Schizosaccharomyces pombe: one gene and its partners. The protein of the gene in region 1 interacts with the protein of each later gene in a pairwise test. Each region holds a gene or a part of one and is shown in the gene's direction. Other genes may lie near its edges. The genes, in order: toe1, sec24, sly1 and dpe2.

The links.
Region 2: the proteins of toe1 (region 1) and sec24 interact in a two-hybrid assay, tested with the Schizosaccharomyces pombe proteins (one large-scale study listed by BioGRID).
Region 3: the proteins of toe1 (region 1) and sly1 interact in a two-hybrid assay, tested with the Schizosaccharomyces pombe proteins (one large-scale study listed by BioGRID).
Region 4: the proteins of toe1 (region 1) and dpe2 interact in a two-hybrid assay, tested with the Schizosaccharomyces pombe proteins (one large-scale study listed by BioGRID).

What each region holds. Positions count from the first base shown.
Region 1 is NC_003424.3:1,834,623-1,842,392, forward strand, and holds toe1 (protein toe1), read left to right. Parts: upstream 1-3,853; 5' UTR 3,854-3,964; coding exon 3,965-4,230; exon of another isoform or gene 4,231-4,347; coding exon 4,348-5,671; downstream 5,672-7,770. Other genes in the region: urg1 (GTP cyclohydrolase II), read left to right, coding at 847-2,166; uck2 (uracil phosphoribosyltransferase), read left to right, coding at 5,999-6,661; fur4 (plasma membrane uracil transmembrane transporter), read right to left, coding at 7,314-7,770.
Region 2 is NC_003424.3:4,795,936-4,804,923, forward strand, and holds sec24 (coincidence detector Sec24/Sfb2 subunit), read left to right. Parts: upstream 1-3,659; 5' UTR 3,660-3,819; coding exon 3,820-6,600; 3' UTR 6,601-6,717; downstream 6,718-8,988. Other genes in the region: 20S proteasome complex subunit beta 6 Pam1, read left to right, coding at 1-221; RNA polymerase I termination factor Rtf1, read right to left, coding at 1,332-1,441, 1,489-1,640, 1,686-2,018, 2,057-2,168, 2,208-2,295, 2,341-2,507, 2,555-2,993; rRNA processing protein Rrp16, read left to right, coding at 7,244-7,380, 7,436-8,558; putative U2 snRNP-associated protein Sap145, read right to left, coding at 8,695-8,988. UniProt on the Schizosaccharomyces pombe protein: Component of the coat protein complex II (COPII) which promotes the formation of transport vesicles from the endoplasmic reticulum (ER).
Region 3 is NC_003421.2:1,919,924-1,927,871, forward strand, and holds sly1 (SNARE-binding protein Sly1), read left to right. Parts: upstream 1-3,236; 5' UTR 3,237-3,273; coding exon 3,274-3,325; intron 3,326-3,388; coding exon 3,389-3,657; intron 3,658-3,758; coding exon 3,759-4,846; exon of another isoform or gene 4,847-4,888; coding exon 4,889-4,997; exon of another isoform or gene 4,998-5,050; coding exon 5,051-5,452; 3' UTR 5,453-5,550; downstream 5,551-7,948. Other genes in the region: mug24 (rrm type RNA-binding protein), read left to right, coding at 1-1,323; ppn1 (cleavage and polyadenylation specificity factor complex-associated protein), read right to left, coding at 5,823-7,494, 7,546-7,756, 7,877-7,948.
Region 4 is NC_003421.2:2,304,694-2,311,873, forward strand, and holds dpe2 (dipeptidyl peptidase), read left to right. Parts: upstream 1-1,526; 5' UTR 1,527-1,598; coding exon 1,599-2,849; 3' UTR 2,850-3,164; downstream 3,165-7,180. Other genes in the region: agp3 (amino acid transporter), read right to left, coding at 1-1,057.

The sequences.
Region 1 (7,770 bases):
TTTTTTTATTCTCTACATTAATAACATACTGAAAATGAAATACTAATTAGTTCAGCTTGTATACATTGATTCCGTCTATGCAATGTCTACGCAAACTGGTGATTGCAGGCCTGGTTAACCTTAAATTCGTTACACAATTCCAGTGAGCCTATATGGAAGTCAACCTTAATTCGATTAGCGTGACACGGATTATTATTTTTATATCCTACGTAAAAAAGAATTTCGAACTAGAATGTGTGGCAAACGCCTTCACTACTGACTATTACGAATTGTATAAATACAAAGCCGTGGAAATAGAAACCATCTTTTCGATCGTTCTTTGAATACTTGTAAGAATGATGTTCTATTCTTTTCCTGTAAATGGGAATATTTGCTTACTGACATCAACCAATTCCAATTGTTTACATTACAAAAAAATTTTTTTTCTTCTAAACAATGACTTGCGTCGGCTATTGCCCGCGGTAGCGCCGCTCGAGAACATGCGTGCACGACCCTTCCCCGCGACTTCGTAAGGTCTAAGAAGGCGCAACGATGTAAACAAGGTATTGTTTTCGGTTCGCTGACGAGGAAGTGCCCGCGGCAAGTCCGCGTGGTATCTGGTATCATGCGAGCTAGCGCTTTCATTGATAGTATCTGGAAGGCTATAAATAAGGGAGGAAATCCATACGGTTCAACATCAATTGCAAAGGTTTCATTCATTACTTTAGCTGCCTTACTCAATTCACTTTGTTTAAAGGCTAATTTTGTGAAACGAATTTCTTTCTACCCATTGAACATTCGTTTGTCATTTTTCTTGTTGTTTTACTTATCCGTTTTCTTCAATTACTAAATTAGAACTAATTCAATATGCTTGCCACTGAACAAAGCCGTCCTGCAGAGTGCAATGGCGCTCATGCTCACGAGAAGACCGAAGAGGTTAAGAAGCCTCTTTACTCTCGTCCTGTCGTCTTGACCACCTATCCCTCTCAATCTAGAATTGATCCTTTCCCCATGAACTGGGGCGCTGCCACTGCTGAGGAACGTGGACCTATTACTGTCGCTCGCTCCATTGAGACTCTTCCTCATCGCAACGCCGTCGGTGCTCATGGCGGTAGCTACTCCGTTTACAATGCTTTAGCTGTTGCCGGTGGTTTCTTGCCCCCTGATCATCGTCCCAACTTTGAGCTCACTGAGCCCACTTTTGACTTCCCTGAATTGGACAGCTGGCATGATCCCAAGAAGATCGTCGCCATGGATCCCTATGGCCATCTTACCCCTAGCGTCTTCAAGAAGTACTTGGATGAGGGTTACGACGTTCGTCCCACCATTGCCATTACCCGTGCTCATCTCCAAGTCACTGAGATTCAACGTTCTGTTGAAAATGGCTCTTTGCCCATCGATGGTAAGATTGTTCTCAACGAAAAGGGTGACATTGCCGTTACTAAGGTTGCTGTTGAGCCTGTATGGTATCTTCCTGGTGTTGCTGAACGTTTCGGTGTCGATGAAGTTACTCTTCGTCGTGCTTTGTTTGAGCAAATGGGTGGTGCTTATCCCGAACTTATCACCCGTCCTGACATCAAAGTATTCCTTCCTCCCATCGGTGGTTTGACTGCTTACATCTTTGGTCCTCCTGAATACCTTAGCGATACTTCCAAGAGCTTGGCTGTCCGTGTTCATGACGAGTGCAACGGTTCTGATGTCTTCCAAAGTGATATTTGCACATGCAGACCTTATTTGACTTTTGGTATTGAGGAAGCTGCCAAGGAAGCCCAAAATGGTGGTGCTGGTTTGGTTGTTTACTTCAGAAAGGAGGGTCGTGCCCTTGGTGAAGTTGTCAAATACCTTGTTTACAACAAGCGTAAGCGTACTGGTGACTCTGCCGAGAACTACTTCAAGCGTACTGAAGAGTTGGCCGGTGTTCGTGATATGCGTTTCCAAGCTCTTATGCCTGATATTCTCCACTGGTTTGGCATTAAGAAGATTGACCGCATGCTCAGTATGTCTAACATGAAGCATGATGCCATTGTTGGCCAAGGTATCAAGATTTTGAACCGTATCACTATTCCCGATGATCTTATTCCTGAAGATTCTCAAGTCGAAATCGATGCTAAGATTCAATCCGGTTACTTCTCTGAGAAGAAGGTCACTGAGGATGATCTTTCTTGTGTTCACGGTCGTCATTGGTAAGCTTGCCCATCTGTTTTAGACGTCACAGAAGGACCATGTTTATTTTAAATTTCACATACATGTGTTTAATTACCTTCATTGTATAAATTCTCGAAACTTTCTCCAATTCTTCGGTCAGATAAAAAATTTCTCTAGTCACCGTCTTTTATAGAGCTTTTGTCAGATGTTTTTCTGGATGGAATCATTGTCCAGTTACTATGCTTTTTATTTATAAGTTTGAAAGTTTAGTTAACTTTTTGTTTTCTTTAATACATTTTTTAATCATGTCAACATTTGGGATTTGTAGAAGTAGTAAATTTTTTGTACATGTTGTAGAATTGGATAAGAACGAAAACAGCTAGTATGTAAAAAAAACGAAAATCCCAAATTCCGTTGTTTGTTTGATATAGTAATATTTATAGCATTTTAGTTTCTAAAGATTTTTGATAATCTTTTACATTTGCTTTCACATACATTCGCGCTACTACCATACATCATATCCCGCTTTCTTTAATTGCTTCCCCACAGACTCAACCAGCGGGGCCTTCTTCTCGCTTAATGTCGATCGGAGCTTAATCGTATTTAACTCGCATTAACTCTTGATCCTTGTGTAATCACGCATGGATAGAATTGTATATGATCGTTTTATCCCTATAAATCAAAAAGTACCTGGAAAGAAAATCGTATAATGTTGAGAGGGATGTACGCAGATACATTAACAATGAACAAATTTTAATTTAAAATTGTACAATTTCCATAACTTTTTCGTCCCTTGATTAGCATGTATTGTTTATGTTACTCATTTCTCTACACGTTTGTGAATGAATGACTTAGATGTATTCGTAGTACTACGTATATATGTCTTTGATGATGAGTTATCCCTACTTTATACTAAGTTTAAAAATCTCTTTTTTAATATTAAGATTCTTTTGCGAAAAAGTTAGCTTGGCGATACAAGAGTGATGGTGTGTTCAATGACCAGCAAATGCAAAAGCTTTACAATTTTAACGATTAATAAAAATTAGTGAGAAAAGCTTTATGTAATCTTGTTCTTAAATTAATTCAACATTGCTGAAACTCACAAATTCTTTTATTGCAAATATCTGTCGGCAGTGTTGGATACTGATGTAAGTGGTGATCACCGATATGTTTTTTTTTTTTTTTTTTTTTTTTTTTTGCCAGGTGTTTTGAGGGGATACACTGAAACACTACAATTACTTACTCAACTACACCTCCTGACATAAAACAAGCCAACTCAGAAAGCATTGTTCGCCCGTTCCGTTTCAAACGAGTATGCAAACATAAACTTGCTGTATTGCATTTTTTTCCAACATATTCGTTTTAGTCATCACTTACCCTTCAATATGTATCAGCGAGTATAGCATCGATTACTTTTCAACAAATGACTCATCAATAATAAAGGATTCAACAACCGCTATCGCTTTGTTTACCATCGCAAAATTTCGCATCGCTCCGAATCTCTTTTTTTTAACTGTCCGTGTCGTAAACCCGTCCCTGTTCTTACGCCAACAGTATCAGATAGACTTCTTTCGGCAGACGAAAATCCGAGTAAGCACCTTATCAATATTACGGAGGTATGAGTCCAACCCACAAATTTATTGATACTACCAGGTTTCTCTAGCGAGCTCTACTGATTTTAACCGTAATTACGCTAATAGTTGCTCCAAGGTGCTTTTGCCCGGAGACCAGAATAGATAACCATTGTTAAGGAAACCTATATATTTATTGAGCGAGAGTCGTTGTCTGATATAAATTCCTTCTATTACCTACATGGTGGAGAAATTTCAAGTAGGAAAGAATGGGCGAAGTGGAACGGACGCGTCAGTCATCCTCGTCTCTATTAACATTTAAAAGGAAACGTGCTCTTGAAGCGTGCGACTCTTGCCGTAAGCAAAAAACGAGATGCCTGGCAGGTTCTGTTGAGGATGAAAACCGCGCGTGCTTAAGATGCCGCTCTTTGAACATGGATTGTAGCTTGGCTGATCCAAATCACTTTATACGAAAAGTGGAAAATGACAATATGGATGCTATTAGCGCGAATATCAACTCAAAACTAGAAAACAGGTATGAATATATTTGTTTTATTCTTAAGACTTTTTAAAAACCCATTCCTCTTACTGTAGTCTTGTTGTTGTAATACCATCTTTCAAACTAACAAATTTACTAAACTGCTTATTATAGACTCAAGGTATTGGAGAAGGCCATCAGTTCTATCACAAATTCTCCTATTGCAGGCCAGATTTCCCTCAAATCCGAAAAAGACGTTTTCCTCCAGGGTTTACTCTCCATGGATGAAATCGAATTGCTCTTGGAAATTTTTATAGAGCGCTATGGTAAGCGCTGGCTCTCTGTCGACTACAGTGCTTCCCAGTACATGGAACTACTATACACAAAATCACATTTGATGCTTGCAACCGCTTGTCTCATTGCTTTAAGACACAATCCCTCTCTGAAAGCTAGGATTTACACGGACGTACTAAACATCGTGGACCGCCTTATCTCAGAGGAATTGCTCACTACTTCACCTTCCCTACAGTTTTTCGAGGCTGTATCTATGCTAACCCTTTATCGACCGCTTCGGCTTTCCCAAAAACAAGATCTCTGGCTCCTCAGCGGGTTTGCTTTGCAACACAGAACGCTTTCGAGCACCAAGGGATGGTTCAACGGTTTTGCGGGATCTAGCGCTACACTAACTTATCTCGATATCGTTCCCGCAAGAACGTGGAATCACCTCTGCCATGGTCATTTGGTTATGTGCATGGGATATCGTCGTCATGCTATGTTGGATGAAAATACTTTTGATGATTGTCGTAATATATTAACAAATACTAAGGCTAATGAATTTGACGGAAACATTTTGGGAATGCTCTCTGTATACTCCATGCTATACAGAATGCTGCGATCCCCTACCCTCGATTTGGATTATGCAATATTTCAGCTTGAAGAATGGCGCAAGGAATGGTGTCATCTTTGGGAACAACCCGAGCCGCAATATTCTCGGATTGCCTATTTTTATTCCTACAATGTCGTTTACGAGGCCAGCATCCAAACAGCTACGGATGGTAATGACTTTGCGAACATACCGCGGTATGTTAGCATGGTGCAAAGTTATGCGCTAAAAACAATTGATGCAATTTTTGAATTGTCAGCTTACGATATGTCTCGTTGCTCCGATCATGTCTTGTTTCACGCGGGTTTTGCATCTGCAAGTTTACTGCGATTGATTTACGCTGCAAAAACAAAGGAGGTAGACACTTCTATCGTCCAGCCTAAAGTTTTGAATGACCTTGTAACTAAAATATGGAAATGGTTGCTTGTTATCAGTGTCGACCAATATCATTTGGCTACAAAGTTTGCTAATTACCTGAAGGAATATCAAAAAACCGTTAATGAAGGCACTGCTGAAAGCACCTGGTTTAAAGGACCACTGCGACCTGTTTCAAGCACTACGTTACAAGCTCTTAAACCGTACAACCTTGGAGTCGCTACTGTGGAACGTGGCTAATCTTTGCCCCATAGAGCCCGCGTTTGTGCCTCGGTGCGATAGCGCGGTTGTTCCGCAATAGCTTAATCAAAGACGGTCGGAAATTCCGCGGTTGAAAATCGGCTGTAAAGTGTCTGAAAAAAACTAAAAACTGGCGATCTAAAAGATATAAAGGAAGAATTCTTGGCCCTGAATAGAGAAAAAAGTTTCCACATTTGACTGTTTACGAACTTACCTCTATCTTACGAATTTTGTAAAAAATTCCTTTTGTTACATCAACCTTTTCTTATCGAATTTCAGTTTTTTTTTGAATTGAATCGTTTTGTTAAATTAAAATTTCCATCCAATATGTCCATTCCTCTTGAACAGCCCGAGAATGTCGTGGTTCTCCGTCAGACCATGTACTTGTTATCATTGATGACTATTCTTCGCGATCAGCAAACCGGCCATTCAGAGTTTGTGCGCACAGCCAATCTCATTATCAACATGCTAATGCAAGAAGCATTGAGTGCTTTACCTTATAAGAAATGCTTAATAAAGACTAGTTCCGGCGGCACCTATACTGGCGTCCAACCAGCTAGAGATATATGCGGCGTCAGCATTTTAAGAGCTGGAGAGAGTATGGAATATGGATTGGCCGCTGCTTGCAACTACTCAGTTCCCGTCGGCAAGTTATTGGTGCAAAGAGATGAAACTACGTTTGAAGCTAAATTGATGTTCTGCAAGTTACCCAAGGATGCACAGGATCGTTTGGTTTTGTTGCTAGATCCCTTATTGGCTACGGGAAATTCTGTAATTCTCGCCATTCAAACTCTGATCAACAAGGGGATCCCAGAAGAAAACATTGTGTTTGTTAATCTCATTGCATGCAATGAGGGGATTACTAATGTCTTTGCTAAGTTTCCCAAGCTTAGAATGGTTACAGCGTCTATTGATCCCGAATTGAATGCTAATAAATACGTTGTTCCTGGATGCGGTGATTTCGGTGACCGCTACTTTGGCACTTGCTAGAATCGTTGATCTTTCATCTCATCAGTGTATATCTCTTTCTGATCCATTCATTGTATTTTAATTACCCTAATTTTTATTCGTTCTCGTTCATTTCGATATATTAACCTTAGATATAATCAATTGTAACATCTATTTCATCAAAGCCCTGTACACTGCATATCCTCGCGATTTATTTAATTTATTATACTCAAGTCCATACCGTGACATTCGACAAACCTTTAATTAATAAACATAATTTTACATCCATTTTTTCACGAGTTATTTCAGTAATCTTTAATCTCTGTTTTCCAACATTCTGTGTTCAATAAGGCGTGTTATTTCCATTTGATGTTTGATTTTTATAGAACATCCTATGTTACTTCTGTAACTATTACCATAATAAAGATATGTCGCTTACTTACTTTTGAAGTCATCCCTTTAGTAGATAAACAGCTTTATTTAGTGTAATATGAATACGCTTACTGTCTAAACGCAACAAATATGCATAACCTATTAATACACTTCATTCATTAACTAGCAATACATTATAAACAAAGATGATCTAAAAAATTTTTATGACAAACTAAAAACAAAAAATAATTTAATAAAGAACCTTCAATAAACCTTGAAAAATTACTATTAAGACGAGATCAAACCACAAAAAGTAATTTACCTAAGGAAAACAACCCGATAATTTTTTGCTCGTAATACTGAGAACGTCGTCCTTCTCAACCTCCTTCTCAGTGGGAAGTCCATCAATATAAATTTCAGATGTACTGTCCTTGTCGATGGAGTCTTCTGAGGCAAGGGTAAGCAAATAGTCATCAGCTTCTTCGGGAACCTCAGAAAGCATTTTCTCACCGCATTCGGTAACAGGGAAGATTTTGCAAATGATTATATGAGATAAACAGGCGACGGTAATACCCAAAAAGTAATTTAAATTAAACATGGTATTAGCAACTTTTGGGACTTTTTGTCCAGTTGAACCAGCCATACCAACAATATTGATAAGCATACCACAAATGTAAGAAGCAAATGCCCGGAAGTTGATACCCTTCCAAAAGTAATAGGGGCTGCTAGAAGAGGAAGAGTATAAAGGAGCAACTCTAATCAAGCCTTTGCGCACGAAA
Region 2 (8,988 bases), 3.0 Mb from region 1:
TCGACAATCAAGTGAACTTACATAATCAGTACGTTCCTGGTTCACATGGAAAAGAGAGAAAGCCAAGGAGACTTTTAAAATTGGAGGAAGCTATGAAGATTACTACTGATGCATTTACAAGTGCTGGAGAACGACACATCGAGGTTGGTGATTCAGTTCTTGTTAAGATTATCACAAAAGAAGGTGTAGAGACAAGAATTATTCCTTTGAAGAAGGATTAGATTTTTGTAAATATGACTTTTTTATGTTCCACTGTCACAGATATAGCTTCCTAGAATGGCAGCCTGCCTGTCAAGCTCAATTCCAATTTCGGATTGCATGATTATGTATGAGATTTTATCGGAGATATCCCTATTTTGAAAAGCCTAGTCTCAATTTATTTTACAAGTTAAACATTTTTTTTTGTCTTTGATGTACATTGCATAGTTTCATGGCGTATTTATGAATGTGTAGAGGATAAGTTCGAAACAACTTAAACTTGTAATTTTTTTAGTCATATTTATGAAAAGGATTAGTTAGGAAGTGATAGAATATTTGACATAAAAATCAGGATTTCAGTACATCAGTAATTTAAATTCCGTTCTTTGACTCTATGAAATCACTAGACGCTTGGCTAATTTATCATAAAGAAAAAATTATTTAATGATTTTACTTTTCTTCAATCAACCTCTTTTCATCCATATTTTATTTTCGCATCAATGAATAAAAATTTATGATGGGTAAGTAAATAGAATTATCTGATTTGTTATTTTGTGGGCATCACTTCTGTATTCATGTATTATTAATGAAACTTACTTAGTTTTCATTTATGTCTCTCTGTGTACTATTAATTTAATTCAAAAAATTCAGAAATGACCTGTCAAAATAGCCTCTTATGAATGCGGTTAATGTATGAGTTATTGACTGATAAAAAAACTAGATGCAGGCACCCTTGCTAAATTAATCAATGATGATGATGATTATTTTATTTTATAGCTTGACATTCGTTCTTTTTTTTAACCTTTTATTAATAATGGGTTAAATTATAACATCATATCGACTGGGGATGTAGTTTAGGGGTATAACGTTTCATTCGCATAGTTCGCACCTTGAAAAGGTCCCGGGTTCGATTCCCGGCATCTCCAATGTTAGAAACTATTTTTCCTTTTTATCCACATTTGTTTTATTTATTGACTACACGGCAAACAGGTTACATACACAAATGTATACTAGAAAAAATATAAAAGTGAATTTACTAATATAAGTAAGATGAGAACATTCTCTCAATGAATACACAAAAAATTTAAATCTATGACTTTGAGGAAGTAGTTAAAATAAATTTGTTCATGTAGCTAGCATAAATCATCGGCGTTAGAAAAAGCGGTGTAAGAATCATGTAAGTTCGAAATGTAAGTTTCTTCAGGAGAAGAATTTAGCATTTTGTGCAAATGAATTAAAGTATCTAAAGCGTTAACATATTAACAATAATTATTATATTCAAAAATTTACCAGAAAACGTAGAAAGTCCATCGATAAACAAGGTTTTTTTTATTCTTTCGAAATGCGATTTACAAGCATCTGCTGTCCATAGGTGATTAGCATATTCTGATAAGCATTTCCAATCAATCATCCGTTCCTCTGCAACATTAAGGTCCATCATTCTGAATTTAATTAGCTTCTTATTTAAAATTTTATAATTGGAGTACCTTTCAATTAACCATATACTATCGCCAAGTTTGAAAGGGGAACTATTATGTATATCTCTGGAAATTAGTGTGTAATACTTCCACCTACAATGATGACGGTGTCGATTTCTCATGTTTTTAGAAATTAGACTCCATTGAATAGGGGATGAAGGATTGCTTTGCAAGTATTGATTAACCGTTTTGATTAATTTTTCTTTCTCCTGGATAGTCCATGGTGAACGATTGATTTCACCAGGTTGAATGTAGTCGCGCCAATGATCTCTGCAATGCATTGGTAGTCTATTCGACAATTTGCCAATTAAGCTCCAGGATGTTCCATGTTTTTCAACAAGTCTATTAGTTAGTTGCAATTTGGAAAGTAAACTACATACTTTTTCAATTCTGCCTCATCTTCTATAGTCCATTTACATTTTTTCTTAAATGGATTATATTTTCTGCGGAGATAATTGTAAATACTCTTTTTATCCCTATCGATAAGCTCATCTATTATTAATTAGTAACAAGTGATAGTAATTGACTTACACAAACAATTATATAATGTTTTCATTTCATCACGATGGTTATCAGACCAAACATATTGAAGAAATTGTTCATCAGACCAATTTTTTTTCTGTTTTTTAATATTTATAATAAAACAGCAAGCTAAAGACCATACCTTTTTAAACATAGCAATTTCTTTTTCCAAAGTGATAATGTCGTTTGCTCCCCATGATCCAGACGACGCTTTTTTAACGTATTGAAACCTTTCATAACCTGGAATGTTAAAATATCCCTTAAGATGCCTATACACAGTCCTTCGTGAAACATTGGGCACTTGAATTTCTAGACTTGAATTAGCGGATTTTTTTGAAAGCACTCAGGTGTCATACGAAATTGAATGAGTAAATTATTGAAAGGTTTTGGAAGTCTTTTGGTTTTAATAAGAAGATCTCTCGCAGCCACAAAGTTTAATTCGCTTTCTTTCAAAAATTCATCAATTAGTTGACTTAACAGAACCCAAAAAGTGGGTGTCCAGTTGGTGTAATCTCTACTGAATACAAAGTCTTTATATGAAGTAGTGCCTGTTTTTTTGAAGCCTCGACATGTTTCATGGTCTTTCGCACTTCCAGCAATTGCTGTTTTCACATTTTCAGGTGATACCATAGTCTCATCATAATTGTATTCATGAAAGCTTATGGGGTTTCCCAAGTAAATGAAAGAACTTGTATTTTTCGAGTCACCAATGGGTGATAAGAGTTGATCATCGACAAAGAGCTCTTCATTGTCCTCTGTATCCGGTCTGCAACTTAAATTGTTTTTTCCTTGCATAATAATGTTCACTTGTCTGAAGAAATATTAAGAAAAAAACATTGACAAAAGGTAATCAGTATAGCAAGGGACCCGGGGTGTAATAGTTCATGTAAGACAAAACCAAATAGCGCAGGCAACTTCAATTATTCAATCTATAATTGAACTTTTGATACTTTGCAATTCTGAATTCTAATTAACTAGTGAGCCTGTTAAAATTGGGTAACATTATAGAGCGTTGGTGTAGCTAAATAGTGTACGATACATGCAGTGATGGTTTTTGAGAGCATTTTTAAAAAAATTTCAAAATTTCTTAAGATGTGACTCTCTTGTTTATGATATATACATGTAAAATTTTTAAAATAGAAAATTAAGTATGAGTGGTTTAGAAGAGTTTTTTTAGTTGAAAACGTTTACAGGTATCTGCCTCATATCAAACTTAAAAAAAAAAAAGAATAAATTAAAACGATAAAATATCTCTATTGGCTTTTGTTTACTAATAATCACTATTTTTTATCAATTAGGTACAAAGTTCCTGCCTATGTTAAAATTATTAGGGTAATAACGTGTGTCACCGATATAATTACTACGATACATAGTATTTAATAACGAAACTGTAAAGCTCGTTAACTTTCCAGTGATTACCTTAACTTTCCATCTACGTTAGTTGAACCAGCGAATGTAGCTGCCATTTACCTACTCCAGGGAACACTGTTAAAAACGTCTTTTTGTGAAAAGGAAGGAAAAATAGAGGGATCTTCAAAAAAGTTATTAAATAATTCAGTGTTTCTTTTCTTTTTTTTGCTAGCAATATACCACTGTAAGTAAAAAAAAATACACTAAAGCAATGAGTCAGGAGGACGCTTTCTACGGAAAGGGTAGTTATGGAGCTAGTAGTGGAAATTCGAATATACCTCCTCAAGGATTTCAGCCAGTTTATCCAGTTGCTGGCCAGCTAGATAATACCGCTCCTTATGTCGGGGCAGTTGCTGAGGGTACAGCTGAAGGCATTGTAAGCAATGGTGAATACGCTGTTGGAGCTATGGGTGCTGCTCCTACCAACATAATAGGATCTGTCGATCAACAACCACCCGTTTCTCATACCTCTCATAAGTCTCGTAGACAGTATCCTGCTGAGGTGTTTGAACTTACAAATACCTTAGCAGCGTCACCGGCTCCCCCTTCTCTTTCAGAGCCCTCTTACGTTATGGCACGAACTCCATCCTCTTCACCATATCCTCATGATCGCGCAGAGGTGGGAACTAAATCTCTCTCTGCACAATTTGGCGGAATGTCACTTGGAGCAGATGGTGCAGCAGCTATGCCTACCAATGAGTTAGTTTCTGTTGATTTGTACAATCAAACACCAGAAATTTCTGACTTAACCTCTCCTCCTCCTCCTATTAATTTACCCTTAAGCTATTCCGCTACTGGAGCAGCTACTTCCAATTGCCCTCCCAAATATGTTCGATCCACGATAAACTGTGTACCGACAACAAATAGCTTGTTAAAAAAGTCAAAAATTCCATTTGCATTAGTCATCCGTCCATATACTAGCTTGGTCGAAGAAGATGATCCAGTTCCAGTTGTTACTGATACTATTATATCACGATGCCGCAGGTGTCGTATGTATATCAATCCTTTTAGTATCTTTATTGACAATGGCCATCGCTATCGCTGTAATTCTTGTGGTATTGTTAATGAAGTACCCCAGTCATATGACTGGGACAGTTTCAGAAATGTCCAACGTGATCGCTGGCAACGTCCTGAGCTCAATTATGCAGTTGTTGATTTTATTGCTCCTCAAGAATATATGGTTCGTGCTCCACAACCTTTGGTTTACGTATTTTTAATTGATATTTCGTTTGTATCCATATCTTCTGGTATGGTTGGTACTGCAAGTCGTGCAATTCTGGAATCATTGGATCGCATCCCCAATAAAGAAGGACGTGCAAAGGTGGCTTTTATTGGTGTAGACAGTGCCCTGCATTTTTTTTCAGTTTCCCCTGGTGCTGAAGAAGCCACCCAACTAGTTGTTTCTGATTTAGAGGAACCGTTTTTACCCAGGAATCAAGATTTGTTACTTAATTTACGCGAATGTAGACAAGGCATTGAAAACTTACTCGAGCGATTTCAATCAATGTTTGCAACTACCCGTGATTCTAGTAATGCCCTTGGACCAGGTCTTAAGGCTGCCCATCGTCTCATTGAAAATATTGGCGGTAAAATTTGCTGTCTCATTTCGAGTCTTCCTAATGTTGGTGTTGGTAAATTGGAGTTACGTGAAGATCCTAAACTTTTGGGAACAAATCGTGAATCTAGCCTTCTTCATCCCAATGACTCCTTCTATAAATCCTTCGCGGTGGAATGCTCCACGTCTCAAGTCTCTGTTGATATGTTTCTTTTTTCTTCTCAGTATCAAGATGTAGCAACCTTAAGTTGCCTTCCTAGATACACCTCTGGTAAAACCCAATTCTATCACAGGTGGAATGCTTCCCGTAGCGAGGACGCTCTTAAATTTGCTTCTGAACTTACTAACTATCTCAGTATGGAGATTGAGCTAGAGGCGGTGATGCGTGTTCGTGGATCTAACGGTCTCCGTATGTCTTCTTTCTACGGAAACTTTTTTAATCGTTCAAGTGATCTATGTGCGTTTCCTTCTTTTCCTCGCGATCAGAGTTATGTAGTAGAGGTTGTTATTGAGGACACTATCACCAAGCCCTTTGTTTCTTTCCAAACAGCTATGCTCCATACTACTTGTAACGGTGAAAGACGGATTCGTGTACTGACTATTTCTCTTCCTACTACCAATAGTATGACTGATTTATATGCATCAGCCGATCAAGTTGCCATTGCACAATATCTTACTGTCCGGGCTAGTGAAAAGGCTCTTTCTTCTACGTTGAACGAAGCCCGTGATAGCATTATAAGTAAGCTTGTAGAAATTTTGGAAGTTTACAAAAAAAATTTGGCTGGACAAAACACCGGTGCTGCGATCCCGCTTCAAATAAGCACCAATTTAAGACTATTACCATTGCTTTGTTTAGCATTGACGAAGCATACTGGATTCAGAAGATCTAGTCATATCTCATCTGACCTTCGTTCTATTGCTCTATGTTATTTAAGTACTCTGCCAACTCCTTTACTAATGCGTTACATTTATCCAACTCTTTATTCTTTGCACGATATGCCTATTGAAGCAGGAACTGTTACAGAACAGGGTGTAGTTCTCCCTTCTGCGTTAAATCTTACTTCAGCTTTGTTGCAATCTTTTGGTTTATATTTGGTTGATACACACATTCATCAATTTTTGTATATTGGTAAAGATGCAGTTCCGCAGCTACTGATAGACGCATTTGGTGTAAACTCTCTTGCGGATTTGAAAGCTGGACGTTTTACAATGCCAGTTATAGACAACCCACTTAACGTTCGTATCAATGCGATTCTCGGTAAACTTCGTTCGTTGGATAAAGGTTCAACTATTATGCCTAGTCTTTACCTTGTACGTGGTGATGGTGATCCACAATTGCGCTCATGGTTTTTCTCTCACTTCGTCGAGGATCGTAGTGAGAACTCTCCCAGCTATTTACAGTTTTTGCAGACTCTTAAAGAGAAAGTTCGTGACTAAAGGCTGTAAAATCTGGCTACTTTCTACAAAACTTTTTTAAATTGATTGTTCTGATGGTAATATATGCCTGAATTAGTGACATGATTAATTAATAATATTCAATATGGTTAAACATTCTTTGGTTTTTTGTATTTTTAAGAAAAAAAAAATTTAAATAATTGATCTAGTAAATATACTTGGTGCTTTTTATATTGATGAAAGCTATATATGTATCAAACTAAATTAGGTATTTGCGTACATGTAGCTTCCAGCCAGCTTGTACATAAATTTTAGCTTTTATACCTTGTCTATTTTCATATTACTTGATGTTGAAGTTGTTCCAAGAATAACAAAAGGTTCTAATAATTTAATTTAATTCATTACAATTGAGTTGCAGTGTATAGATTTTCAATTTCGCACTTTAGAGCTTCACATCTTCTATTTAAAGCATAAAAAAAATATTAAATATTTATTAAATTTCATTTTCATTGCAATTAGATTATATATCCAGGCGAGTATTCACTTATATTGAAAAACTAATTTAAGAATGTAATTTTGCACTGCGGTACTAGGTGCTTGGCAAGTGGTAGAATTTTGCCTTCTGCCAAGCACTCCTAATTGTAGTAATTAGATTAGAGAGTCGAAATCCTATTATTTTAAAAAGATGGGAATCAAAGAGAGGAATGCACCTTCTCAATATAAACAATCATCTCGTAAAAACAAACGAGCATGGAGGAAAAATATTGATTTGGAGGATATCGAGTCTGGTCTAGAGCAGACTAGAGATGAGGAAATAAAAGGGTATATTAGTTTTTGCATTGTATTAATTAAAAATATTTTTATTAACTTAAAACAGTGGAAATGTCGAGCACAAGCCGAATGATGCTTTATTTGTAATTGACACTCTTGGTGATGATAGAATTGCAAAAAGAAGCAGAAAAAAAATTAAACCATTAAAGGTTGATCAAATTCTTGAAAATAAGTCTTCCATAGAAAAAGTTCATTCTCATTTAACGAATAATTCAACTGAAAGCAATAAGAAAGGAAAAATTTTTTCTAGAAAAGAACTAAATAGACTACAAGCTTTGGTGTATAAAAATAAAGATGGTTTAACCGCAACTTCTGCTGCTAGTGAGCTCAAAAATACCAAACAACCAAAGGAAAGTTATGATGTTTGGGAAACAAACCCAACAGTTACTATACCTGTTAAAAGACCTTCTACATTATCTAAACTACCCGAATCTTTAACTGAGAATAATGCAAAAGTCCCAAATGTTGTTATCGCTGATCCAGGAATGTCATACAATCCTGACGCTGCAGCTTGGATGAAGCTACTTGATACCAAAGGTTCAGAGGAACTTAAGAAAGAACAGAAAAGAATTAGTGAATTAGAGGAAAAGGAAAGAATACAGAAGAAAGCTTTTGAAGACAAGGGATTAGTTTCAGACCAAGACGTTAATCACAGCATTGATTCTGATGACCAGTCTGAACACGAACAAGCAGAAACTCCGATCCCTTCTTCGAAGAACAAACGAAAAACCAGGTCTCAAAGAAATAAGATACGCCAAAGAAGAGAGGAGGAGCTTAGATTACTTGAGCAAAAGAAAAATGAAGAGCTTCTGAGGACGATCGACAAAGCTCCTGCAATATCCAAAAAACTGCAGCAAAAGGATAAAGCTGAGAAATTCTCTAATAAGGCTGTTTCTTCTAGCACAACTGAAATCAAACTGAAGAAGAAAAAATTCGGTAAACATCGATTGCCTAACAACCCACTTGAAATAAAGTTGGGAGATGAGCTGACTAGTTCCCTTAGAGAGCTGAAGCCTGAAGGAAATTTGTTTGCCGATCGCTATTTAAGTTTACAACAAAGAGCAATGGTTCCTCCATCTTTGCCAGTATTGAAGAAATCAAAGTATCGTGCAAAGATCAAGGAAAAATATAGTCACAAAGACTTCCATCTTCAAAAAAACAGTATATAAAATATATTTTAGCTAGGGTATAAATTGGGGTTTTTTTTATTTTCACTTACAAATAATAATTAATACTTGAATAATGTATGGAGCTTAACAATAATACTGTCATATAGATTAACTAATGTACACTGTAGATAATAATTTAAAGACGAAACTTGTCTCTCTTGCTTTGTGTTTTCTGTCGTTTCGCAGCACCAACCTTCATAGCCTGCTCAGACACCAACTCCGAAAGCTCATCTTGCCAATTAGAACTTTGATTTAACGCAACATCTCCTTTGTTGGTTGATGAGAGCATGGAATGTGCATTCCTTTTTTGTGGAAGAGTATCTTCAGCGGTAGGAATGTCGTATTGATGCTGAGGACCCATGAAACCTGAGATATTAGTAGATTTTTCAGGTAAAACTTGATATAAGTCTCGATTAGCAGCATCACTACT
Region 3 (7,948 bases), on another chromosome or scaffold:
TTGCCAGTTGACTACAAAATTTCCGAATTACTTTCGCTTATCCACTCTGGACCATTAGAGAAGATTCAGTCCAACCCTGGAAAACGCAGGATTATAATTACATTTCTTGATTCTGCTGATGCCTTTTTCTTTTATGAAAGGTACCATCCTCGTGGATTCATTTTTCATGGTAGGCCACTCAAATTGACATTTGCTAGACCTTCTCCTTTACCTGAATCGATTCAAAATTTTTGCTCGAACACTGCGGCCAGCCGTAATGTGTTCATCGGCAATCTTCCTTCTTCTTATCACGAGAAGGAAATTGAAGAAGCGTTTGGTAAATTCGGCAAGATTGAGCACATAAAAATCCTCTCGAAAAAGAATATTGCTTTTGTTCACTTTTTGAACATCCGCGACGCAATCAAGGTTGTTCGTACCTTATCTTGCGATCCTGACTATCACTCATGGCGAATATTTTTTGGCTCAGATCGCTGTGCAAATCATCCACCTTCATTTGATGAAAGGTCATGTTTCACTTCCAAGCAAAATCCGGATACCACGTCTGACCGTTGCAGGCAGCAGGAATCAAAAGACAATGGAAACCGTACTGTCTTCCTTGGCAATCTCCATACTAAGACTAAAGGACATGAAATATGCGATCTAATCCGACATGGAGGGTTACAAGACTTCCACTATATTCCTGAAAAACATATATGCTTCGTTACATTTATAACGTATTCGGCCGCCAACGCTTTCCACGACTACTTGGCTGAGGAAGAAGTTTTATTACACGGTCGAAGAATTAAAGTAGGATGGGGTAAAGAAAGTGGACCTTTGCCCAGAGTTTTAGAAGATTCTATATTGATGGGCGCTTCCAGAAATGTTTACTTCAGCCATATATCAGATTCACTTACTACCGAAGAGTTAGAGCTCATACTGCGTCAGTATGGAGAGATTGAATCAATTAAATATTTAAAAAATAGAAGTTCTGGATTCGTTGCCTATACAAATATATCTAATGCCATGAAGGCTGTCAATGGCTTGCCTATACATCCTTTGTTCAAGAAGAGCAAAATCCGCTATGCTCCTGATAGATGCGAACAAGAGCTTCAAAAGTCTAAATCCAACTCTCCTATCCAACAGAATGTTCCATTGCAGCAATTTATTACTCCACCGTTTTCATATCCTGTAGCTTATTGTCCAGCAATTCCTCCAGGTTCGGATCCAATATTAAATTTTGGTATCCAGTATCAGCCCTTTATCCCCTTTACAGCCGTTCCCTCTTTTCCTTTCAACTGCAATGTTCCGAACTATCCTCAAACATCCGACCACGAAAACGACTAGTTCCAATACTCGCGAAGTAACTTTTGTTCATCAGCAAGTCAGTATGTTTCCATTTATTTTTGCTTATTCTCAATTCTACGGGTATTCACTCAGCATGCAAATTTAGTTTGTAACAGAGACTCCCAAAAACTTAACACTAACTCCTCTGAAAAAAACTTGAAAATTGTCCAAACCTAACTAAACATTGCCTTAAAAAAATCTAAAATTCCAAAAAAAATTGAAAAAGAAAAAATTCAGAAAAAAAACTCTTTTTATTCTTGACTCTAATTAAACCTTATTACTGAAAGTTTTTGATTTATCGTTTTTACACGTTTTGATTGTTTCCCACCCAAATTTGAAATTTTTTTGCTTTGTCACATTACTACTCTTCCGTGATTTCCAATGTCTTCTTTTAAATTATGTAATTTTTTGTCTTTAAAGAAAAATTACCTTCAACCTTCTGAGCAGAGTTTTATTCATTCAATGTGTCAATTAGTTTTTCAAACCATTCTTCTATCACTAAGAGAAGCCGGTCTGTGAACTTTTACTTTTCTTACCTATTAAAGATTACTTACTTCTTGCTGATGAATTCATGAACCCTTCTCGATCCGTTACTTCATGGGTAGTTTGTTCATTTACCATTATCCATTTTTTACTATTACCACAATATTTTCCCATTTGCTACTGTTTCCGTTGATGCCGGTTTTAAGCTAACCCACCAGCCAATTTTGCATTTTTCCAGCTTGCTATCATTAAACCAACTATTCTCACTTATACACATTATCATTGTACTATCCACTGACGAATTCTTTACTATTTCTCCCGTTTGATTACAGCTCAGCTTTCCAGAATCATTGTTATTGTTCCTCGTCATGATCACTATTATCCTTTGTTCACAACCAATTAATTGACTATCTTCATTCTATCATTCCATCGACCCCATCACCAGTTCGTTTACCATTTGCTTTCTTGATAGCATTCAGCTTGATCACACTAATTTTATTTTTTTCTTGAGCTTCCATATTTATCGCTTATTCTTGCTTTTACTATTCTAGGATTAACGTACTCACCATTTTCTTTTCTTTCAAAGCTCAATTATTGACGTTACTCCCAACACTTTGCTTACTACCGTTTTTTGTTATCATAATCGTTCTGTCATTTCATTTTGTCATCACTATCCTTGTCCTTATTCCGTTTTTTTTGAGATTTTTGTTTTATCATTATCATTATTCGAGTCCGACACCTTCTTTGTCATATTTTCGGTTTACTTTGCCCAATTCCTTCCATCAATACATTGTTTAATTATATTTTCCATCCATCATTGCTGTTAATTAATTACTATTACGATGATTAGGTCTACGGTATCATTATCATCATAATGATCAATGAATAATTTCATATTTTGTTTAATTCAGTCTAAAAAAATAAACGAAGACATGCCTTCTACTTATTTGATCCCATGAGCAACTTTAGCCATCGTATATGATCCTAGACACTTAGAATATGCAAATCATTAATGGCTAAATTCATAATTAAGAGCTTTTTGCGTTTGGATACTCTTTTAATAATTGTATCTTTATAAGTAAATAGTAAAGTAAGAACACCTCTTAGAAATATATGTAATGTAAGCACAGTTAGAAAGCTGAGATTAAATCTTAGAAAAGTAAACTACTGAACGCAAGATTGATTTCCTTCCTACGCTTTGAATGTTTCCGGTGCACTAGTACTGTTTTTTTAAATATCTAAAAATTTAATGAAAATCAGAAATCTTTAGTAAAGATTGAAGACTACAAGATTTGGTAAAACAGCCAAACCTCAATATTTATTTTGTTGTTTACCTTTTTGAACATTTAGCGAGACTCGCTTCACTGCCATACACCACCATATGAAGGGTATGATTCTTATGTTTATCCCTCAACACAAATCATCCTTCTAAGTGCTTATATTAGTGCCAAAGTTGGAATTGGCACGATGTCTATTGCATCTGTAAAAACACCGTCTTCTTTGAGAGAAGCTCAAATTCGTAAGTAGTGTTGCTAATAAAACTGTATAATTCTCAGTAAGCATTGCTAATATGAACCTTTAGAATCTTTAGAAAAACTGCTTAATTTGAACCAAGACGTCAACGAACTTGAATCAAGCCCTCAACATGCCTCTAATTTTCCCATTTGGAAAGTTTTAATCTTCGATAAGGCAGGGTCGGAGACTATTTCTTCTGTTCTCAGAATTAGTGATCTCAGAAAACATGGCGTTACGGTTCACATGAATATCACTTCGTTTCGTCAGCCTATTGCTGATGTCCCAGCTATTTACTTTGTTCAACCTACTCAAGAAAACATTGAGCTAATAATAGAGGTATGGATTTCTCAGTATCATAATTTTCAATCAATTAATCTTATTGTCGGATACCAAATACTTTTTTGTATTACAGTTCAGCAAGCTAACATATTTTAAAGGATCTTTCGAAGGGTCTTTACGAATCAGCCTATGTCTGTTTTTCATCTACCATTTCTCGTGCTCTTCTGGAACAGTTTGCCGAATTGGCGTCGAAAACAAATACAAGTCACATGATTCATCAAGTGTATGACCAGTATCTTAATTATGTTGTGTTAGAAAGTGATTTTTTTTCTCTTCAACTGCCCAAAATCTTTCATACGTTCCATAACCCGTCTTCAGATGAGGCTCTCATTAATTCACGCGTTCAGGATATTGTAAATGGTCTCTTTTCAGTGATCGTTACACTCGGAACCATTCCTATCATTCGTTGCCCACAAGGATCGGCTGCTGAGATGGTTGCCCAAAAGTTGAATCAACGTCTAAAGGACCATTTAATGAATACCAAGGATGCTTTTGTTTCTGTTAATCCAAAACCAAGGCCAATTCTTATTTTACTGGATAGAACGGTCGATTTGATTCCAATGATAAATCATTCTTGGACTTACCAAGCTTTGATTCATGATACCCTAAATATGCAACTCAATAGGATTACCGTAGAGTCAGTCGATGATGGAAAAATGACAAAGCGGTTTTACGATTTAGATGGAAATGATTTTTTCTGGGAAAGTAATGCTAGCAAACCATTTCCTAAAGTTGCCGAAAACATTGATGAAGAGTTGACTCGATATAAAAATGATGCTAGTGAAATTACCCGAAAATCCGGTGTTTCTTCACTTGAAGAAGTTAATGTTGACGCATTTGCTGATTCGACTTATTTAAAAAGTGCAGTTAGCTTGCTCCCAGAGCTTACAGCTCGTAAACAAATCCTTGACATGCATATGAATATAGCAACTGCATTATTAAAAGCTATTCAAGAGCGCCATTTAGATGACTTTTTTCAGTTAGAAGATAATATAACTGGACTAAACAGAAGTGCCATTCTCGCTTGCATCAATAACAAGGAACAAGGAACTCCCGAAGACAAGCTACGATTTTTTATAATTTGGTATTTAAGTGTTGATTCCGTACCGGCTTCTGATTTGCAGGCATATGAAGAGGCGTTGGTTAACAATGGCTGTACATTAGAAGCATTAAATTTTGTTAAGAGGTATACTGATTGATGTTATTGGTTTTTTCTAACTTATATTAGGGTTCGTGAAATAACTAAAATGACCATGTTAGCATCTTCTACCACAAGACCAGCTACGGGTCAAACAGGAGATAATTTATTTCGTGGATTTAGCAGTCTTTCCACAAGGGTAAGAATAGTTTGACACTTTTTCACCTTAAAGCACATATTAATTGTTTTTAGTTTACCGACCGCTTTAAAGAAGCCGGTATTGGTGGCCTTGAAAATATTATTTCGGGGGTTAGAAATCTGATTCCCTTCAGGAAGGATGGGACTATTACATCTATTGTTCAGAGTCTAATGGACCCTGGCTCTTCTCCTGCCTCCAAACAAACAGAGTCTTATCTATTATTAGATCCCAAATCAGCTCGTGCTATTACTGTAAACAATGATCCTAGGGCCATGAACAAAAGACAGACTTTTAGTGAAGCAATTGTTTGCGTACTAGGAGGTGGTAATTATTTAGAATATGGTAATCTGGCTGATTGGGCGCGTGAACAAAATCCTAAGAAGCGTATCATATACGGTAGTACCGACATATTATCGCCATCTGAATTTATGGAAGAAATGGCTTCTCTATCTTAAAAAATTATTTAGTTTTATTTTTTGGCCATCATGTTTGTTCAGCCAATATTGTATGAAATAAATGATTTACTCTTAATTTGATACATGACTTTTTTGTCGAATTTGTGTAGTCCATCATCGTATTGAAAATTTGGAAAGCATCAATGTTCATTATACGCAAATCGCGGTTATTTGTAAACGACATATACTTTCAGACCAAGAGCTGAGGGAACAGAAAAAAGAAAATGTAATTGCTGTTCTAAAACTCAAACAAAAAAAAAAAAAAAAAAATTAACAAAAAAAAATTTCAAAAACATATAATTCATAAGATTCTCAGTTATAACTTAAGTTAGACATGGCTTAAAATATGTAAGTTGTGAAAATCTTCAGTTTATATAGCATTCGAGTAATTTGGTATCGAAAGAGATGGATTTTGTAAAACGTTTGATGAAGCATCTGATATAGAAGATGACAAATTAGAAAAAATTGAACTTAATTGCGAATTCGAAGTAGCTGAGTATGCATTCGTGTTATTTTCAGAAACTTGCTGCACTAAACCATTAAATCCCAATTCAGTTGTTGCTTGAGTGTCAGACGAGACTAGCTTGATGTGAGCAGGAGGACGAGAATCATCGAATTCTCGAATAACAGGCAAATCCAAAATAATGTTAAAAGTGGAGATATCCTTACTTTCATTCTTCTCACGTTCTATTTCGCTAGTGGCTTCCGGGGTCAAATTCCGTTCATTCCCTCCACATTTGTATCCACGAGGATGGATTTCATCTTTAGAAATTTCAAATTTTATAGGAACTGGTTTGTACCAAATAATTTCGTTTTCTACATCGTCTTCAACGTGGCTACCAAACGCTACACGAGCTTCCTGTCTGTCCATATCCCTAGCATTTCCATAGATGTGTGGTGTTTTGACTGACGCGGCACCTTCCTCATTAAGAGATTCAATAAATTTGACTTGAACAAGATCGTTATCGGGCTTCCATGAAACGGACTTCTTCTTTCTCTTTTTGTTTCCTGTTTTCTCATCATTAGAAGCAGGATCACTACTGAACACTGCATTCTCAGCTTGTAAAGATGCAATCTCCTCACTTTGCCTCGACGAAGAGGAACGCTTCCTGAAGCTGGGCAATTCCTCACGATTATTACTAACATTTTCTGAACTTATTCCAGAATCCTTGTCCTTTTCCTTCTCCCGTCCTTTCAAGCCAGCCATGATAGAGGAAAGAGGAGTAGAAGGGTTGGTTTGCTGTTTTGTCAAAGGCGCTTTTGTTGAAGAGGAGGCCGAAGTTGGTTTTGTAGAGCTTGCTAAATTTTTAAAGAAGGATGTTCCCGATATGCTGGTTACCTTTTTTTTAGATTTCGAATTGCTTGATTTAGTAGTTGAGGAAGCGCTTGGTTTATTAGACGCAGACGGGGCCATCGCCGGACCAGCCGGGGCCATAACGACTGCGGAAGATGAAACAGTCGAATCGTTCTTCGTAGAGCTCTTCTCATTTTCTCTATTTTGTTCAATAGTAAAACTTTTCTCGGCCAGTTCAGAAAGATTTTCAGCAAGCTGGCGTATAACGGAATTGGTAGACTTTTTTTTTACGATTAAAATTGGTTTGCCAAACTTAACCTCAGCTAGCTTCTCAGTCGTAAGAGGAAGATTAGCTAGCACGAGCAGTATTAAATGAATGAGTTCGTCGTGTTTAGAACGAATAGCTGATACAAACCAGTTACGTAGTTTAGGAAGGAACAATTTACGACCGCCGTCAACAAGTTGGCTATAAATACTATTCCCCACTTTGCTTTTAAGAAGATCTAGAAAAACTAATTTTTGATCATCTTGGGTGATATTGCTCATGAGATTAACAAGGATTGCAGCACATTCTTTTGGAGCTTGGACGATGTTAATTGGGTTTAAACACTCAGTCAGAGTAAGGCGCAAATCTTCTAACGGATCAGAGGAAGAAATTTTTTGACGAGATTTAGATTTTAATCGTGCAAGCATTTGAACGTTCACGTCTGATTTTGATGATGGTACTTCATGGGAGGCGGTATTTAAACTAAGGCGCTTCGTTAGTCATAAATAAATTTTTAAGGCAAAATAAACTTACGAAGATCCTGAATCCGGATTCCTTGAAGTATGACTTGGATTATTAACATATGGATTGGCTGAGATAGAGGTATGATTAGTATTTTGTGATTGAGAGTCATTGGAAGGAGAAATGCCAGGAGAACTTGGTTCCTTATTAGAGGACAAGGATTGTGATGGGGAGCCAGTTTGCGAAGATCCAGAAGATATGAGTGATGGATTGGATGAGGCAACTAAGATAAATATTAGCAAATTGAACGAATCAAAAAAGAAAAAGAAAAATTGAGAACATAGGAAAACTCAGTATAGTAGAGATAAAAATAAAAAGAATGAATAAACAAAAGAAAATATACCTGAAGGCATTGTAGCTAACAATGAAGCATCTTTATGTGACAGAGGTGACTGGGAGTGTTGAAACACATGAG
Region 4 (7,180 bases), on another chromosome or scaffold:
TTGGAGCCATGCCATCCTTGGCTAAATTATACAAAGATCGACTTCCTATATATATACCACTGTTGATGGAAGAAAGGCAAGTAATTAAAATGACTGCATTGACAAAATCACCTGCGTGATTCCAACCGGCATTCATTATAGCAATTGTCATTGGAGACTTGAGAGTTTTGGAGCCTGACGAAAGATTTGGGTCATTCCATGCTACGGTGATACCGTAAGAGATTGAGATACCAAAATAGACATACAAGATTCTCCAGAACGTTTGTCTCACAGCAAGCGGGATAGCTTTTTTTGGATTTTTGCTTTCAGCTGCAGTCATAGATACAGATTCTACACCACTAAAAAAGACACCGGCATATACAAATGCTGAAACTATACCCCCAAATCCGTGTGCCAATGGCATTTCTTTAAACAAGTTGGGCGGCTTATGATGAGGAATTCCTCCAGCTGCGTAAATTATTGCAAATATGTAGAATCCAGTAATAAATAGAAGTTTAATGAAAGCCAAAATGTATTCAGATTCTCCAAACACTGACACACCTAGCATTTGGTAACACGTAAAAAAACCCCAAAAAATTAGAAAAAAGCCATAAGATGGCACATGGGGGCCCCAATATTGAAGAATAGATGTTAAAGATGTATATTCTGCTGCGATGTTGGTAAGCCATACGATAACATAGTTCCATCCGATAGCGGCTCCAAATGCTGGGTCAACCCATCGAGCAGCATGAGTATTGAAGTTGAAATCAAATAGCGAATTAAACTCGCCGATACTCAGCATAACCCCAAAAACAACAATACTAACGATGGCAAAGCCGACAATTAGACCCACCGGACCACCAATATGCAGGGCACTGCCCATACCAATGAAGACACCTGGACCGATGATACCAGCAAGGGCCATCATCGATACATGACGAGTCTTCAATCCACGTTTGATTCCATTTGAATTATTTTCCGCTGCGTCAACTGTTACAACTTCGGAAACTCCAATGTCGAGGTTTTCTGAGGAGGATAGCTTCTTGGCAGGAACTTTCTCAGAAGGCGCTGCCTCCATTTTCTTAATTAACTTAATTCACTTTATTCTTAATATTAGAAATTACAATTGGTATTGTGATCTATATATGTACAACAGAATTGATAAATGTAATCAATTCTAATAATGTTAGCTGCAGAATCAACATGAATTCTACCGCTAATTGCTCAAAAAAAGTTGTTTTAAGCGTCAAATCGTTTAATCGTATCTTTGACGCTGTGCTAATCAACTGCAATTCATTGGAATTTAAAGTGTTATTCAAGGTAAGCAGATTATCAGTGAGATTTTTAAAATCGCCAAATTTCGCTAAATTACTTAGCCTACAATGATGATAAAGATAAGCTTCTATATAAGTATTAAAAGGTGACAGATTTCAACGTTTTGGCGATGCGTTTATTTGAAGGTGATAAAATCGTCTTTATAAGATGAGATTTAGCGACTTGTTTAGGCGGCCCATATATACATGTCGGCAGGAAGACACGGTTTTGATATACCCATATCTATATATATTCAGATAAATTCCATGGTGATCGTCGCAGTAAGAAGCTGATAATAGTTGAAAATGACGGTTGATCTTAGGGAAGAGAAAGAGCTCGCACAGCAAAGATTTAAAGAAATTTGCAAGCATGCGAAAATTGTTGATACACACAATGACTTCCCTTACCTGCTGAGAGTTCAATTACGAAATAAGCTGCAGCTGGCGGAGTTTGATTTTGAGAACGGTTTAACTAGTCACACGGATCTTGTAAAAATGAGACAAGGTCAAGTCGGAGTTCAATTTTTTAGCTGCTTCATTGAATGCAAAAATCCGAATTACCTGTACCAAGACTTTGATACACCTACTACTGTGGTGCGCGATACACTAGAACAGATTGACGTTACTCGCAGATTGGTTTGCAAATACAATAATGATTTGAAGTTTGTCGATTGTGCAGACGATGCCATAGCAGCGTTTCGAAATAATGGGAAAATTGCAATTGCTTTGGGAGTTGAAGGTTTGCACCAGGTGGATACTTCTCTGGCTGTATTAAGACAATATTACTCACTTGGTGTGAGATATATAACTTTGACTCATAATTGTGATAACCCATTTGCTACGGCAGCTAGTTCCATTACTGGGGGCCTTCCAGACAGAGGTCTTTCAGCGTATGGAATTGAGTGTATTTTTGAAATGAACCGACTCGGTATGATGGTGGATTTATCGCATGTAAGCCACCGCACTATGCATGACGCCCTCGATGTAACCAAAGCTCCCGTAATATTCTCACACTCCTCCGCATACACACTTACAGAGCACGAAAGAAACGTCCGAGACGATGTATTGGAAAGGCTGAAAACGAATGGTGGTGTCGTACAAGTCAACTTTTATCAAGATTTCATTCGTAAGCCTGGAAGCGACCGTGCAACAATCGATGATGCTGCAGATCATATCTTACATATCATAAAGGTAGCCGGTTGGGAGCATGTCGGTTTAGGATCCGATTTCGATGGAATTCCCCAAGGCCCCAAGGGATTGGAAGACGTCTCTAAATATCCCGATTTGATCTGTAAAATAATTGAAAGGACGAATGCCACAAACGAACAAATTGAAGGATTAATGGGTTTAAATGTGCTCCGGGTTTGGAAAAAGACCGAGTTAGTGGCATTGCAACTATCTAAAAAATTGGAGCCCATTGAATCAAGTTGGTCTGGAAGAAAGTGGGAGTTTTACAGCTATGCTAAAGAGTTTCCAGAGCTATTTCCAGACGCCTATAAACTGAATGAAAAGAGTACTGTTTGGAATTATGATCAGCCTTTGAACATTGAGAAATAATATCATAAGGATCGTTGACTTTTTAAGAAGGTGAAGTAACCAGCTTTCATTTCGAGGTTACAAAAAATAAGTCATCAGAGAGTTTTTAGCAGCATGTCCTTCTTTCATACCCAATAACATGTTTCATTCTACTGATTTTTAACCTATGAATTATCCCAAGGAAGATCACAAGGACCGATTGCAATTTCGGTTAAGTTCGTATCCACATTGTGTAGTTTCGACAAGTAAATATGAACTTACAAAAGTTTTTCTATTAATCAGTATAGTTATAGTAGAGATACGTTGAATAAAATTATGTGTTTTATAAATCAATGGAATAAGCAAGCAATCAGACCCACATAAAGAAGCACTTTGCTACATGAAAATCGCGCTAAGGAATCAGCAATAAGACAATTAGAGAAATATGAAATAAAGAAAAAGAAGCATGCGAGAATTTGATATGTTGATGCAATTTATCAATCTACTACTTTGTAAGCAATGAAGCAATGATTTGTTCGAAAGTCACAGAGATTCAAAGTACTGAACCATACATGATTTTGTCAATAAGCTAACAGGGCATAAGGCCCACAATCTATCTTTAAACAATAAAATTAAAAAAATAAAATAGCAATAATAAGAGAAGGAGCCTACAGCACCCCGGATTCCCATGTTGTCTCCAACCATAGTACTAACGAGGCCCTCAGACGCTTAACTGCAGTGATCGGACGGGAACTGGTGTTTTCGCCTAGGTATGGCCGTAGACAATGTTTTTCAACAATAGTAAATTATATGGTAATTTTATGAAAAATTTTATGATTAACTGTTAATGAAAAGAAAAAGTAAAATAATGAAGACGACATTTTGTCAGTGTAGACTTTTGAGCATGAAATTTGTGAATGATCAAATTCGATTAATTGATAATATTTTTTACTACGTTTTATTTTACCAAAAGTATTTGCAACATCATATCGATTATGAAAAAAATTTTTTTTTAAACAAAGTAAATTAATATATTTGTTCTATTTTCATCTGTTAAAATTTTATTTATTTTTTACAATCTATTCGCATTTTTAATTTAAATTAATTTTATTATTTTTTTTATATCATTTTATTTTATTTTACTTTACTTTTTTACGGTTTTTTTTCCTTGCATGTCTTAAAAAAACGTTTATAACGGTAAATTTGCATACATGCTCAAAAGAGAAAAAGTCGCATATGTCAATAGTCTTATCTTTATAAAGAGTCCAAATTGCATAAAGCCGGACCATATTATAAAAAACAAAGATAGCTAATTGAATCATTTGAACGAACGTATCAAACATGTTCAAAAGGACACCTTAATCACATGACTTGTGCAATAAAATATTAAAACGGATTTTAGATGCGGGATGACTAATTTGATGTGGAGAAAAAAATAAACGATAGATGGTAATTACCAAATAGTTTCTTTTGAGTTGCAGAAACATTGGCAGGTAAGCTAGCTATACCATGCAACAAGGCCTGACTTGGCTTCCCCTTGTATAACATGTTCATTTGTAGTTGCATATTTGCAGATCATTTTTATACATATTCTACTTTTTCACAGACATGGCTAAGGAAGTATGTAAGGAGGAAATGTATGCTAATTTAATTCTCAACAAATCCATCTTGTTGCATTGTCGGCAGTAGAATTTTTGTTTTTAGTTATGAATTACTTTTTGAGTAAGTACATATAAGATGATAGTTTAAGAAGGAAAGTCGATCTACACACGTTTAAAAATTGTTGAAGCGATTCGTGCATCGGTCAATTGTATACTTTAAAGCTTTTCTTTCCTTAGGTCACATCTAGAACTTATTGAACACGATTTCAAGTTGTGAAGAGGAAAACGGATGCGATCCACTTTTACCGGAGCTGGATGATTTTTCCAATCACATTGTTTACATGTCAAAAAGGGAGCACAAGAAGTCGTAAAGCAAGGATCGCATAGAAAATGTAAAGGAAATTAAAAAAAAAGATGAATGAATGAATGAATAATAAATAAATGGAACAAAAAAATGAATGAATAAATTGAATAAATAGATTAAATAACGAGAACAGAAAATAGAATCTTAAAAAAAAAAAAAAAAAGGACAAACAAGGAAACCTTAAGGGTTGCGTATGTTTGTATGTGCTTTTCAGATTCACCCTTTATTCGATTTCTCAGTATTGTTTTCTTTGCCTGGCTGGCTTACCTTTTCCCGTAGATGCCAGCCATCTTGGTAAATGTACATCCCCCACATAGACCCATGTCCCCCAGTCGACTGCAAACATGAACCACTTTGCTACTAGCTAAAAGGAACTGACTACAACTTTGAAAAAGTTCCTATGTGGGGGTGAGGGGGGAAAGAAAAATGCGGAGGAAGTGTTTCGGGAATACCGTGTTTCTGCCGAAGTCTTTGCCGGTCGTGGACCGGGTGTCCGAGGAATTCCCTCATGACAACGAAGCCGAGGGTGTCGCAAATGGGATAGCGAGAGAAAAAGAGAGAGAGCAGCTGAAAGGAAATAGCGATGAGAGACGAGGAAGAGAGAGAAGAACTGAGTAATGCGATAGAGGAGGAAAAGAGAGGTGTGTTATAGCACCACACAATTTTGAAATGTAAAATAAAATCAAAGACATGATGAATCAATCATCTTTGTGATAAATCAATTCAAACAATCAATGGTGCTTTTGTGCATAGTCAATCGTCCATTGACTATTCAACTCATTGACCTATTCAACCCATGACAAACATAGTGTCGACCTTAGCCTTTTCTCATCCCATTTTATTTTTCATCCTACATCTTTACGTCTACAATTTACGCATCCCTTCATCACCAACCCAATCCTTCCTACACCTATCTCCATCTTACAAATCTTACTCATTCATTTGATAGCTAGAGCCATCATCCTGTATATAGACTCAAAAAGAATGGAATGGGCCTTGTCTTTTCCATCTTTCTCCATGATACGAATTTACGGACTAGTGTGCTTGTCACTTTCCACTCGCTAATCTCTAGCACGTGGAATGCAACCGCACAGGGAAACGAGGATGTAAAGCACCAAGCAAAAGCAATGCAGTGGAATACGAAAACGGTGTGTGTAACGACATAAAAAAAATCTCATTCTTATCAGTAATGATTAGATAGTGTCTTGTTCTTTGTCTTTGTTTTTGCTTCTTGACTTGCCCGATATACTTGTATTAAAAATATACTCCATAGTACCGGATTTTACGCATTGCTGGGATGTAATAAATGTGTGATATTATTATTTTGTTACTGCAGTGAAATTGGGTTGGTTCGTAAATTGAGGTATAAGCTTGTTAAACAAAATGGAAGAGAGACTGATAATCGTAGTAAATGAACCAATAAATGGAAATGTATTTGACCCAGAAAATCAAATGATTTCAGCAAAGAGAGATTGGAGGCAAAAAGAAGAAAAAGAAAAAAGAAAATGGCCAACCGAGAAGAAGAAGAAAATTTTTTTAGCGGAAGAGAGAAAACATTTTGAGAAATTTAACGAGGAACGAGTAAAAGAGTAAAGAGAAAATAAATAACAAAAGAATATATAATGAAAGAATTAATAATCAAAACATTTACAATTTAACTCTAAAATTACCATTTACCTCTTTTTCTTTTTCTTCTTCTACTATACTTCTATCCACTTTACTCATCTCTTCTCTTGCCTTTTTTTTTTTTCTCTCTCTCTCTCTTTCTTTTCTCTTTTCTCCTTTCTCTTTTTGCTGCCCTACTCCCGCTGCCCTGCCGACGTCCTTTACCCTGTTTTTCCTCTTCTTCCTCTTTTCCTCGTTTTGCTCCCGGAAAAACGATAAGCTTTTCTAACGTGTTTCCTTCCCCTAACCTGCAATCTTCACATTTGCATCGGCAAGGTAGCAGGGGCGGTAGTTACGTTGGACTGGGGTGGCTAGATTCATCTTTAAAATAGTAGGGTCAGGATGATTGTACCATAGAATTGTTTTTTGTCCTCTACTCTTATCTAAGATTTGAAGGCATATCTATTGCAAAAGCAAAAGTATCTGAAACTTCGATGACTGCGTATTTTTTCATATAAAACGATATTGACCGGCATTGTTGAGTTGCGAATTGCGTTTGGAAAACCAGCGGAAAAAAAAGTAGGACATAGCAAATTGATTGCTTAGCTTTTGTAATAAGAAGGGATCAGGGCTGTTGTTGTTTTCTTGGTTTAGAAAAAAACAGAATCAAAAATAATAAAGCAAAAAAGAATATTTTGTTCTTTTTCCTCCACTCCCCATTTTATTTCACCCAACGGACTTTGTGTGAGAGCGATTATCGGTTCGTCTGTTATTCAAGACATACTTTGTATTATTTGGGTCTT